2 linked regions of the Tribolium castaneum genome follow. The protein of the gene in region 1 binds, or shares a complex with, the protein of each later gene. Links are inferred from orthologs where the notes say so. Each region holds a gene or a part of one and is shown in the gene's direction. Other genes may lie near its edges.

What was found.
Region 2: SmF (region 1) and wmd share a complex: the UniProt entries of both Homo sapiens proteins name them as parts of the SMN-Sm complex. The link is inferred for Tribolium castaneum from reciprocal best matches to the Homo sapiens genes SNRPF and STRAP.

The regions. Positions count from the first base shown.
Region 1 is NC_087398.1:3,704,968-3,709,848, reverse strand, and holds SmF (small nuclear ribonucleoprotein F), read left to right. Parts: upstream 1-2,466; 5' UTR 2,467-2,582; coding exon 2,583-2,757; intron 2,758-2,809; coding exon 2,810-2,901; 3' UTR 2,902-2,998; downstream 2,999-4,881. Other genes in the region: mitochondrial coenzyme A transporter SLC25A42, read right to left, coding at 1-13, 538-983, 1,027-1,175; calmodulin-like protein 4, read left to right, coding at 1,628-1,630, 1,681-1,711, 1,760-2,175. UniProt on the Homo sapiens protein: Plays a role in pre-mRNA splicing as a core component of the spliceosomal U1, U2, U4 and U5 small nuclear ribonucleoproteins (snRNPs), the building blocks of the spliceosome.
Region 2 is NC_087399.1:1,127,715-1,133,827, reverse strand, and holds wmd (serine-threonine kinase receptor-associated protein), read left to right. Parts: upstream 1-2,485; 5' UTR 2,486-2,601; coding exon 2,602-2,716; intron 2,717-2,783; coding exon 2,784-3,074; intron 3,075-3,139; coding exon 3,140-3,264; intron 3,265-3,638; coding exon 3,639-4,091; 3' UTR 4,092-4,241; downstream 4,242-6,113. Other genes in the region: ENGase (cytosolic endo-beta-N-acetylglucosaminidase), read left to right, coding at 4,766-4,775, 4,824-5,929. UniProt on the Homo sapiens protein: The SMN complex catalyzes the assembly of small nuclear ribonucleoproteins (snRNPs), the building blocks of the spliceosome, and thereby plays an important role in the splicing of cellular pre-mRNAs.

The DNA.
Region 1 (4,881 bases):
AAATTCGTATATTCTGGAAAAAAATACAAAAAAAAACTATAGTCCGGTCAAAATAGACACAAATCTCATAAAAAATATATAATTAGTACAGGTCTTAGGTACCCCACTGCAAATGAATAATATAAAAAATCCCCACCGGATATCGTTTTTTATTTTTCTCGTAAACGGTAAGTGTTATCGTAAAAATAGGTCAGACGAAAATAGATCATGCAATTATCTATAAAAATTGTTCTTATAGCTTTTTGTACGAATCACCATTTCTGAGATATCACTGATATCAGACATCAGATTTTAAAAATAATTTTTCAAAAATTAATTCCTTACTTAAAATTAATTTTTAACAGATGAAAAAATAAATAAAAAAACATCTTTTGACAACGAATATTTTTTTTAGCAGACGTAGGATTGGCGGAGATTTTTTATATTTATTTTATTTGAAATAATAATAGTGCACCTAAAACCTGCAGTAATTTTCAGCTTTATGCGATTTATTGCAAATTAAAACGTCTATTTTGACTAATTATTGCCCTTACTTACCTCTATAGAGCATTTTCAAGGTATCATAAGTAAAAAACGAGACCCCTGCATAGGGCACGACCCCCGCAATGGTGGGTATGTACCCCTTATAGAACGCTGTGATTCCCTCTTCGTAAAAAATCTTATAAAAAACTTGTCTCAAAGTCGCGTATTCCTGCTTATTCGTGACAGCCATTCGAGCCCTCGCCACATCAAGTGGGTAGGTGAGAGATTGCGAAGTGGCCCCCGCGAGACTCCCCGCCAGGAACAATTTCCTGGGGGACTTGTTTGTATTGTCCACATTGAGAATTTTCTTCCACTGTTCGTGTGCGGTAAACTGGATGGCGGCATGGGGCACAATGCGCACCATGGTGGCACTGTTGCCCCTCCATAGGGCCAGAAACCCGTGCTGGTGGTACGTTTGTCGCAGAAACTTGAACGCCTTGCGAGTTGAATAGGGTTTGTTGCTGCAGGAAGCCAGTTAGAGGGGTACCAAACGTGGGGGCTTACCTGATCTGGAAGTTGATTTTTGTGCGGTCCAAGGGGGCTATCGTGGTCTTGGCGAGGGCCCCCGCTATGGCGCCCGCACACAGACTAGTGAGGACGATCTGAGTGTTGCTCAGCTGACTCGAAACAGGGTCATGGCTTTTACGAGCCATTTTTTGGAAGACTAATCAAGGCATTATTGGGTCAACTGGAACGGGAATGAAGAATTAGAGGAGAGTCGGAGGAAAGGAGGCAAAGTTCAAAGTGTGTTACCTTTTTTTAATTGGACGGGGATTTAACAACATCTAAGCGTGGAGTGATAAGACTATCGCAAATGACGAGCTGTTTTGTTATATAACTTTATTTATTAATAAATTACGTTAGAAATGAGGCGATAAATCGATTCGTTCGGGGGGTTTACAACCCTGATTAAGGGCTCCCACTAATCGGGGCCCCAAACAATTACCTGGCACAATTGGGCGATAAAATCATCATTTTATCAGAGATAAAAATAAATAATTCATTAATGACGAGTCTGTGCCAAATTTCGTGACGCTAACTGTACTTTCACCTGTTTCACCTTGATAATAATAATACAATTGACGTGTAAATATTTACAAGAAAAATGGTAAAAATAACCCGCTAAACCCACCCCAAACCTAATCAAGCTTGTTTCAGGCCCGCTACTTCAAGGAGCAAGACATTGACGGTAGGTACCCCCGTGATAGCCCCCCAAACTAACTCGTAAATCTTGTAGAATTTCGCGAGTGTTTCTACTTGTTTGCGCGCTCGGGGCACATCAAGTCCCTGGACGAACTCACAGTGATAATGAGGAGTCTGGGGCTGTCGCCCACCATCTCAGAGCTTGCGGGTTATTTCAAGCAAAAGAACGGCAAAATGAGCTTTGCTGACTTCTTGGAGGTTATGCATATTCACTCACGGGTGGAGAACGTGCCCAAGGAGGTGGTGGACGCCTTCAAGGCTGGGGACCCGGAGGGGAAAGGGGTGATTCCGGCCAAGCAGCTGCGTCACATGTTGCAAAACTGGGGCGAGTGTCTTTCGGCCAAGGAAATTGATCGGATTTTCAGAGAGGCAAATGTTAATAACAACAGTATGGTGCGGTACGAGGATTTTGTTAAGATTGCCTGTGCACCAGTGCCGGATTATTACTAGAGGGGGCTTACCCTAACACAGTCTTTTCCACGAAATTATGTAAAACACATGTCACAAATTTTTATTTTCGGATTTTCGCACTGGGGGGTTGGCAATGATTTTTCGGTTTGGTAAAATAGAGAGCCGGCAATCAACCCCCGCACAGTTATTTATTCTAACGCCAATAAATCATTAATTGACCACAATCCTTGTTTTTTTTAATTACGGTAATTTTAGTCCAAGAATCACAAAAAAACAATATGCGCCCTAAAAAATCAGACACCCATCAACTTTTTATACGTCGATGGTGGATGGAAATTTTGACAATTGACACAATTGTCGCTCGATTCCAACCTCACTTTTGCTGGTTAGCGTTGTGTCAACGTTTTTAGTTTATTTGCGATTTTTTGCACACAAAAACAACAACCATGTCGACCGCAATGCCCATAAACCCCAAACCTTTCCTCAACGGCCTAACAGGCAAGGCTGTGATGGTAAAATTGAAGTGGGGGCACGAATATAAAGGTTACCTTGTCTCAGTTGATGGTTACATGAATTTACAATTAGCAAACACAGAGGAATTTATTGATGGGAATATGACTGGTATGTAACTATGCTTTGGAGGCGGACCCCCTTGTGTAACATTTTTTTACAGGTAACTTAGGGGAAGTTTTAATTAGATGTAACAATGTCTTGTTCATAAGAGGGGCTGAAGAAGAGGACGAGGAGGGAGAGACGAAGGATTAATTATTTAATGTAAATTCAAGTTTAAATGTACGATCGGATACTTACGTAAATAAGTATTGTAGATTTAATTTTTTACCAAATAAATCGTGTTAAAGTACTTGTTTTTTTTTCTACATGTAACGTTACGATTGTCTACCACAAAAAAAATACACAAACTGTTACGGATTATAAACAAGAGAACTTGCTTTTGAAAAAAAATACAAAAATATATTTATTTGTTTAACATTAAAGGACGCTATAAAGTGGGGGATACATACAGTGTTCTATAAATAATTATAATGGAATAAGGAAATGATAATTAAGTACCAAAAATGTAAATTAAATCCTTGTAGTTAACGGCAAAACGAACAGATAGCAGCACAACTGAAGAAAGTTCCCCTGCACTTACAGTTACCTCTCATACACCTGCTTTTGCATTTACCCGAGAGGGAGCCAAAACATACTTTATATTTTAAAAAGCATCAATTTAATTTAATTTGATAACTTTGGCACACATTGGTCACAAGAAAAATTAAAAAAAAATTAAGTGTCATCAAATGAAGAGTCAAATACTAAAAATATTTTTTGGGCCGAAGCGAAAAAATTCAAAAACCCTTTTATCAGCCAAAAAAACTGTGGATAGCAACACAATACCTAAAAAATATATAAAACTAAAATTATTGGTCAATATTTTCAGTAAAATTACAACGCTGGCTTAAATAATTTCAATTTCAAATAAATTTAACAGTTTATCCATACTTTTTGTATACAGCGAGTTCGATAAATGGACTGCCATCGCTTTACTGCGAACTCACAGGAGTCAGAAAAGTTCACTGAACGGTAAGTAAAAGTAATATAAAAATTCAAAATTTATTAATTATTTATTCATACTAAAAGTGAAAAGTACAATTGCTACAGTTGTTAATAGTAATACGACTCGTTTGCGCACAATTAGAACTGAATCAGTTGCATTAGTCACAGAACTCAGAGGCCGTTGTATATTACTCCTATTATTATAATAGTCATGTTATATAATTCCTCTCTTCTACAAGTCCCTGAGACTCTTAATATCACAGTGAGCTAAAAATGTTCAGTAGTATTTTTATCGCAGTTTGCGAATAACTATACCTTATTAATCAAAATTCTTCATCAGGTGCTTCATTTAAGAATTTTTCATATCGTAATTTTGTTTTTTCCGGAATTATTGCCGATCATTCCAATATTCCAGGGTTCTTCTAACAAATTCTCTGTTTCCGAATCGCTCATTATTCTTTATCAAAAAACACCGCTGCACTTTCAATCAATACTTTTTATCGAATTAATCGACAACTGGCAGAACACAATTTTTGTTTGTTTGGCAATAATCCATAGTAACACAGAGCCGTCTAAATTCGTAATCTCAATACGTTCATTTTATTTAAAAATTATGTATTTATAATTTTGACACTGATACTGATTCCGATCGTGCAAAAAACGTTATAAGCATGTCGAACAGTAACAAACCCTTACCGTTCTCCATACTTAATATACTATAAGAACAATTTCTATAACGGAAAAAAAATTGATTTTACAGTAAACCCGTTTTTTAAACGAGTAGGCCGATGTGTCAGCGTATTTTTGAAGGATACCAATGCTCGACCATCGACCGTCTTCTGTTTAATAAAAACGCTCAAAACTCAAAATGCGTTATTCGTTATTAAATTTTTAGGCGCTGCACGATTGAGCGTATTCAGCGTATTACGTGCGTGCTTACCCTTAAAAAATAAACTTAATTTGGACATAATAATTGAAATCTCGAGATTTGACAATGGTTTTAGAGCAGTTTTGAGGTAATTTTAATTGATTTTTGCATGCGCCAATTGGCTTAGTCCAGAAATGAAGAGCTATTTTTGGGGTGTCTAAAATTAAGGCATTTTGTAAGTTTTTTAGATCTTTTTCGGATGGTTACTTTTGGGAAAACACTAAATTTGTAGGATTCTACCCTGTTTTTCGTGTGCCCAA
Region 2 (6,113 bases), on another chromosome or scaffold:
CTTTTGAGTATGTAATAACCGCTTCCTTTTTTTGCTCTTTCTTATTCCAGAGTCGTACACTTTCCCCCAAGGAAACTACTTGATGATTTCCTAACTACATATTTGCGATGGCGATTTTAGATTTTATGTTTTTTTTTTTTCATTTTTATGAAGGCAAAAGCCTTGAATATCAAAATTTTAAACAAAAAAAATTGAAAATTTTAAATATCGTTAAAAGTTGGTATAATACAGAAAATGAACCGCTGAATCCAATGGAACAAACCGCATTGCTCTACGACTTTTAGTTTTTGAATTATGAATTTTTTTGTTGAATAAAATTTTCCACTATAGGAAATGATTATCTTAATTTTTAGCAAAAAATTTTAAAATGTTAGATCTCGTAAAAAGTTGGTATAATACAGAAAATGAGCCGCTGAATCCAATGGAACAAACCGCATTGCTCTACGACTTTTAGTTTTTGGGTTATGAATTTTTGAAAAATAACTCGGCGCCTCCACCATTTTTCAAATTAAAAGTAAAATAAATTACGGCAATACTATTTGAAAAAGTGGAACTATTATGATCCTTACCCAGGCAAAATGATCCTGGGAATCGATTGGCATCGAGAAAATTGCCAAATTCCCAACAGTTTTTTAGTTATGAATTTTTTAAAATTTTACCAATTTTTGCATTTATCTGCAATTTTCTCGAAAACTATTAGTCGGAGAAAAATAGTCTTTTTCGAAAAAAATTGATAATTCAAAGAGCTTTCCAACGATAATACACTTCATGGCGTTATCTCTAATAGTTCTGAAGCTATTGCTCGAGAAATGTTCCGGGTACCCAAAACCGACAAAAACTGCGACGAAAATTGAAAAAATCAAACATCACAAAATTGAACATATGGACTTTTTGTAGACTTTTAACAACTTTAGTGGGTTGTTAAGACATATAGAAGTCCATAAAAATTTGCTGGAGTGAGTTTAAAAAATTTTTTTTTCATCTCTTTGAAGGTAAGTAGTGTTTTACTCAGGAAATTTGAGCAAAAAAAATGAAAATTTTAAATTGCGTGAAAAATTAGTATAATAAAGAAAAAAAGCCGCTGAATCCAATAGAACAAACCGCACTGCTCTACGACTTTTAGTTTTCGAGTTATGAATTTTTTTAATGAATAAAATTTTTCACTATGACAAATGGCTATCCTAAATTTAGGCAAAAATTTTTAAATTTTTAATTCTTGTGAAAAATCGATATAATATGTAAAATGAGCCGTAGAATTCAATCGAATAAACCGCAATGCTCTACGACTTTTAATTTTTTTTTATGAATTTTTTTAGTGAAAAACTTTGATCGCCTCTGTAGCCGGAACCGTTGCCCGGAGCGGCTCCGGGTTTGGTCGAAAAAATAGACAAAATTAAGCGCTATCAGATGGTTTTTTGTTCGTTGCTCTAAGTCTTACAGTTTCCGAGAAAAACGCAAAAAAAGGTTTCCGTTTTCACTTTTTTTCAATTTTCAATCGTCAATTACGGCGAAACTATTAAAGATATCGAGAAACGGAAAAATGGAGGATAACCGGAATAAAAAACTCTACAAAATGGCATAGGACTTAAGGCGATATCTCGCAAATAATTTTTCAATTTTCAAACGCCGATTACGGCCAAACTAAAAGAGCTAGAAGAAAACGGTTTGTTCGATCGTAAAGAGCACATCAAAATCTATAAGACAGAATGGGTTTCCTTTGATTTTGAGACACTTTAAAAATTGGCCGATTTTGGGGGGGGGTGTTAACTTTTTTTTTAATTTTTTTATTTTCTCATTTACGGCTAAACACTATTGTAAAAAGTGGAACTGTTTTGATCCACACCTATGCAAAATGATCCGGGGAATCAATTGGCATCGAGAAAATTGCCAAATTCCCAATAGTTTTTTAGTTATGAATTTTTTAAAATTTTACCAATTTTTGCATTTAACAGCAATTTTCTCGAAAACTATTAGTCGGAGAAGAATAATCTTTTTTGAAAAAAAAAGATAATTTAAAGAGCTTTCCAACGATAATACACTTCATGGGGTTATCTCTAATAGTTCCGGAGCTATTGCTCGAGAAATGTTCCGGGTACCCAAAACCGACAAAAACTGCAACGATAATTGAAAAAATCAAACATCAAAAAATTGAACATATGGACTTTTTGTGGACCTTTAACAACTTTAGTGGGTTGTTAAGACATGTAGAAGTCCATAAAAATTTGCTGAAGTCAGTTTAAAAAAATTTTTTTTTCATCTCTTTGAAGGTAAGTAGTGTATTATAATATAACTCAGGAAATTTGAGCAAAAAAATTGAAAATTTTAAATCTCATGAAAAGTTGGTATAATACAGAAAATGAACCGCTGAATTCAATGGAACAAACCGCATTGCTCTACGACTTTTAGTTTCCGAGTTATGAATTTTTTTGTGATTGGTAGGTAACCAATTATACACCCGCGCATGCGTCCCTTATTGCCACTTTCCCAGCTGTTGTTGACGCTGTCAAATTCAGTTCGCTTTCTGAACTCCTCGTGTTAGTGTGGTGTGTAGGTTTTTAGTATAATTTTTTTGTACCGTTTGACCTAATAAAATAGAAAACTATGGCAAATCTTCGTCAAACCCCCTTAACCTGTAGCGGCCACACTCGTCCCGTCGTCCATCTCGACTTCAGTTCGGTGACAAAATACGGCTATTTCCTAATTTCGGCATGCAAAGGTAAGTTAAACTTTACCTTCGGCGACATTTACCTTGGCCTGGATTCACCGTACGAGGCCGCTTTCAGACGGCAAACCCATGCTAAGGCAAGGGGACACCGGCGACTGGATCGGCACCTTCGAGGGCCACAAGGGGGCGGTTTGGGGCGTCGCGCTCAACAAGGACGCCACCAAGGCCGCCAGCGGCGCCGCCGACTTCACCGGCAAGGTCTGGGACGCCAACTCCGGCGAGGAACTGCACTCCTTCCAGCATAAACACATCGTCAAAAGCGTCAACTTTTCCAAAGACAGTGCCTTATTGGCGACGGGGAGCAACGAAAAAATTGTCCGAATTTTCGATCTGAATAAACCCGAAGCGAGTAAGGTGGCCTCGCATTCGCCTTGGCTCCTTTTCTGATCGGAACGATTTGATTTATTGTTTCAGAACCCGAGGAGTTTACGGGGCACACTTCCGGGATAAGACACGTGATCTTTTTCAGGAATGACACGCATCTTGTCTCGTGTGCGGACGATAAGACTTTGAGGGTTTGGGACCGGAGTTCCGGAAAGGTAACCAAATCTCGAACCACGTCAATTTTGTTCTAGACGGACGGTCGCTACTTTAAAAAATATTGACCAGATTCGAGTTAAATCTACTTCAAATTCAAACACTTAGAAAAAACGTTTGAAAAAAAAACAAAATTATGTAATTTCCGCTTTAATCAGACGATTTTTCATTCGAAAGGGATAAATGATACATGTTTCCAAATATTTACTAGGTTATTGCCGTTATAAAAATAAAAAAACAAATTTGCAAAATTGTCAACTTTGACAATGTAAATGTCACTTTGACAAATTAAATTCCGCAAGATGTCGCCCTACTACGACCGGCCGTCTAAAAACTTTCGCTCTTGATCATAATTATACTAGACAGTTTTTTGCAGGAAGTCCAGAAAATGGACTTCCCGTCGATTCCGAACAGCCTTGAGGTGTCCAGAGACGGCACCGTGCTCACAGTAACCCACTCAAATCACGTCACATTCCTCGACTCCGAATCTCTAAACAAAATTAGAGAATTTTCCGTTCCTACGACAGTCAATTCGGCTTCGCTACACCCCGACAAAACGATTTTCGTCGCCGGTGGCGATGATTTGAAAGTCTACAAATTCGATTACACAACTGGAAATGAAATCGAATCGTTCAAGGGCCACTTTGGCCCCGTCCATTGTGTCAAATTCTCGCCCGACGGTGAATTGTACGCTTCCGGGTCAGAAGACGGCACTTTAAGACTTTGGCAAACCACAATTGGCAAGACTTATGGACTTTGGAAATGCGTTGACGGGCCCCAAATCAACAACGACGCGATTACGTCACCCAAAGAAGTACCCGCGATTTAGCTGTTTGACGAATTTGTTTTCTCCTCCTTCCTCAAATCCAAGTAACTCGTAGTTCTTTCACGATTAGGTGAACAGAAGACGAAAAAGCGACGGAAAACTGATTTATTTATGTTACTATTTGTTTGAATATTTAATAAATAATCACGAAAATTGGCGAGTTTTTGTCCCAAATTCCTGACATTGAAAGCGGGTTATTTGTAAACAAACCGGTTGACCCAAATCAAGGAAAAAGCACCAAAGAATCGCAAAAAGCGAGGTTAGGTTCTGGCCTTAATCAGTCGATCAATGGGAAAACACTAGGTGATAAAACTGATAAGTACGAAGTGAAATGGCCCGATTGCTACATTCAGTGATCTTGGCTAATAAATAATAAAGAAATGTGAAAAAAAAATCCACAAAAAAAGTGAGGTTATACCTCTTGTTTTTCCCCCATTTTCCACATAATTAAAAACGGTAAGAGGCAAAAAAACCTTTATAAATTACAAGCTCCAATTTATTACCGCTATGGTACGATAAAAACTGCGTAATCACAATAAGATAAAAAGTGAGGTTATGTCATTCAAAAAAAAAAAAATAAGAATTGGGTTATGATGCTATTTCAGGGGCCCCGGATGCGGAAATAATTTTTCCCGCATTATCAGCTTCCGTTTCCCGCCGTCCTACAATTACCGATAATGAGTACTGGTAACAAGACTCATTTTTCGCCTCCAGTTGTCTCAAATCTCTTTGTAGAAAGTGACGGCCCCCCTGCCATGAAAAAACTCAAACTAAACCAATTCGAGTGTTTTCCAATCACATCATTGGACAACATCTCCGAAGTGATCGAAAACCCGCCCCAGTGGGTGAGCCGAGTCGCGCCCTTGACCGAGCGCAGCCCCACAGTAGTGCAAAACATAATTTCGGATTGTCATTGCGATGCGAAAAAATTCGGTCCACGAACGCGTCTCGATAAGAGATTTGTTCCCAAAACTTTAGTGTGCCATGACTACAAAGGTGGCTATTTGGAAGACAGGTTTTTGTCAAGTAGCAACATCGGGAATTTGTACTCGTTTTATAATTGGCAACACATCGATATTTTCGTTTACTTCAGTCACCACCTAATCACAATCCCACCTTTGTGTTGGATAAATGCCGCGCATCAAAACGGCGTGAAAATTCTTGGAACTTTGATAACAGAATTCGAGCCGGGGAAAAAAATTTGCGAGAAGATTTTCAAAGACGAGGACACGATGCGAATTTTCGCAACTTCTTTGACCCAAATTTTGAAAATTTTCCAATTCGACGGGTGGCTCCTCAACATCGAAAACTCGCTCCAAGACACCGAAATGTTGAAAAAATTCGTTGCCTACTTAGGGGTGCAAACGCACACCCAAAACCCCGACCATTTAATCATCTGGTACGACAGTATCATTGAAACGGGCGAATTGAAATGGCAAAATGAGCTCAACCCCCTTAATAAATTTTTCTTCGATAATTGTGACGGTATTTTCCTCAATTACGTATGGACTGAGGAAAATATCCACAATTCGATTGAATTTGCAAAGCATCGGACTTTGGACGTTTACGTGGGGGTGGATGTCTTCGGTCGCAATACCTTCGGAGGCGGTCAATTCAACTGTTTCAAGGCCGCCCAGATGATAAGGAGACACAACTTATCAATGGCGATTTTCGCGCCAGGCTGGACGCACGAAACGCTGCCCAAAAGTGAAAATCGGCAAAAATTCTTCGAGGATTTTATTAATCGAGACTCGGCTTTTTGGAACAGTCTGTGGCCCTATTTATACACGCATCCCATTACGAGGTTCTTCAAGACCAGTTTTTTCACTGGAGTTAACCAGGTATTTAACTAATTAATTAGTTATAACGCGCCCAAGTTCGTATTACGAAAAATAGTTCGCCCTTTCTCTCTCACTCTTTCCTATCGGAACTCCTATAGCTCTGTCCTTGTCTTATGTAAATAGCGGGTTATAACTTTTTAAGTAAAATTATAATAACTTAATAAAAACAAATGCATTAATTTTA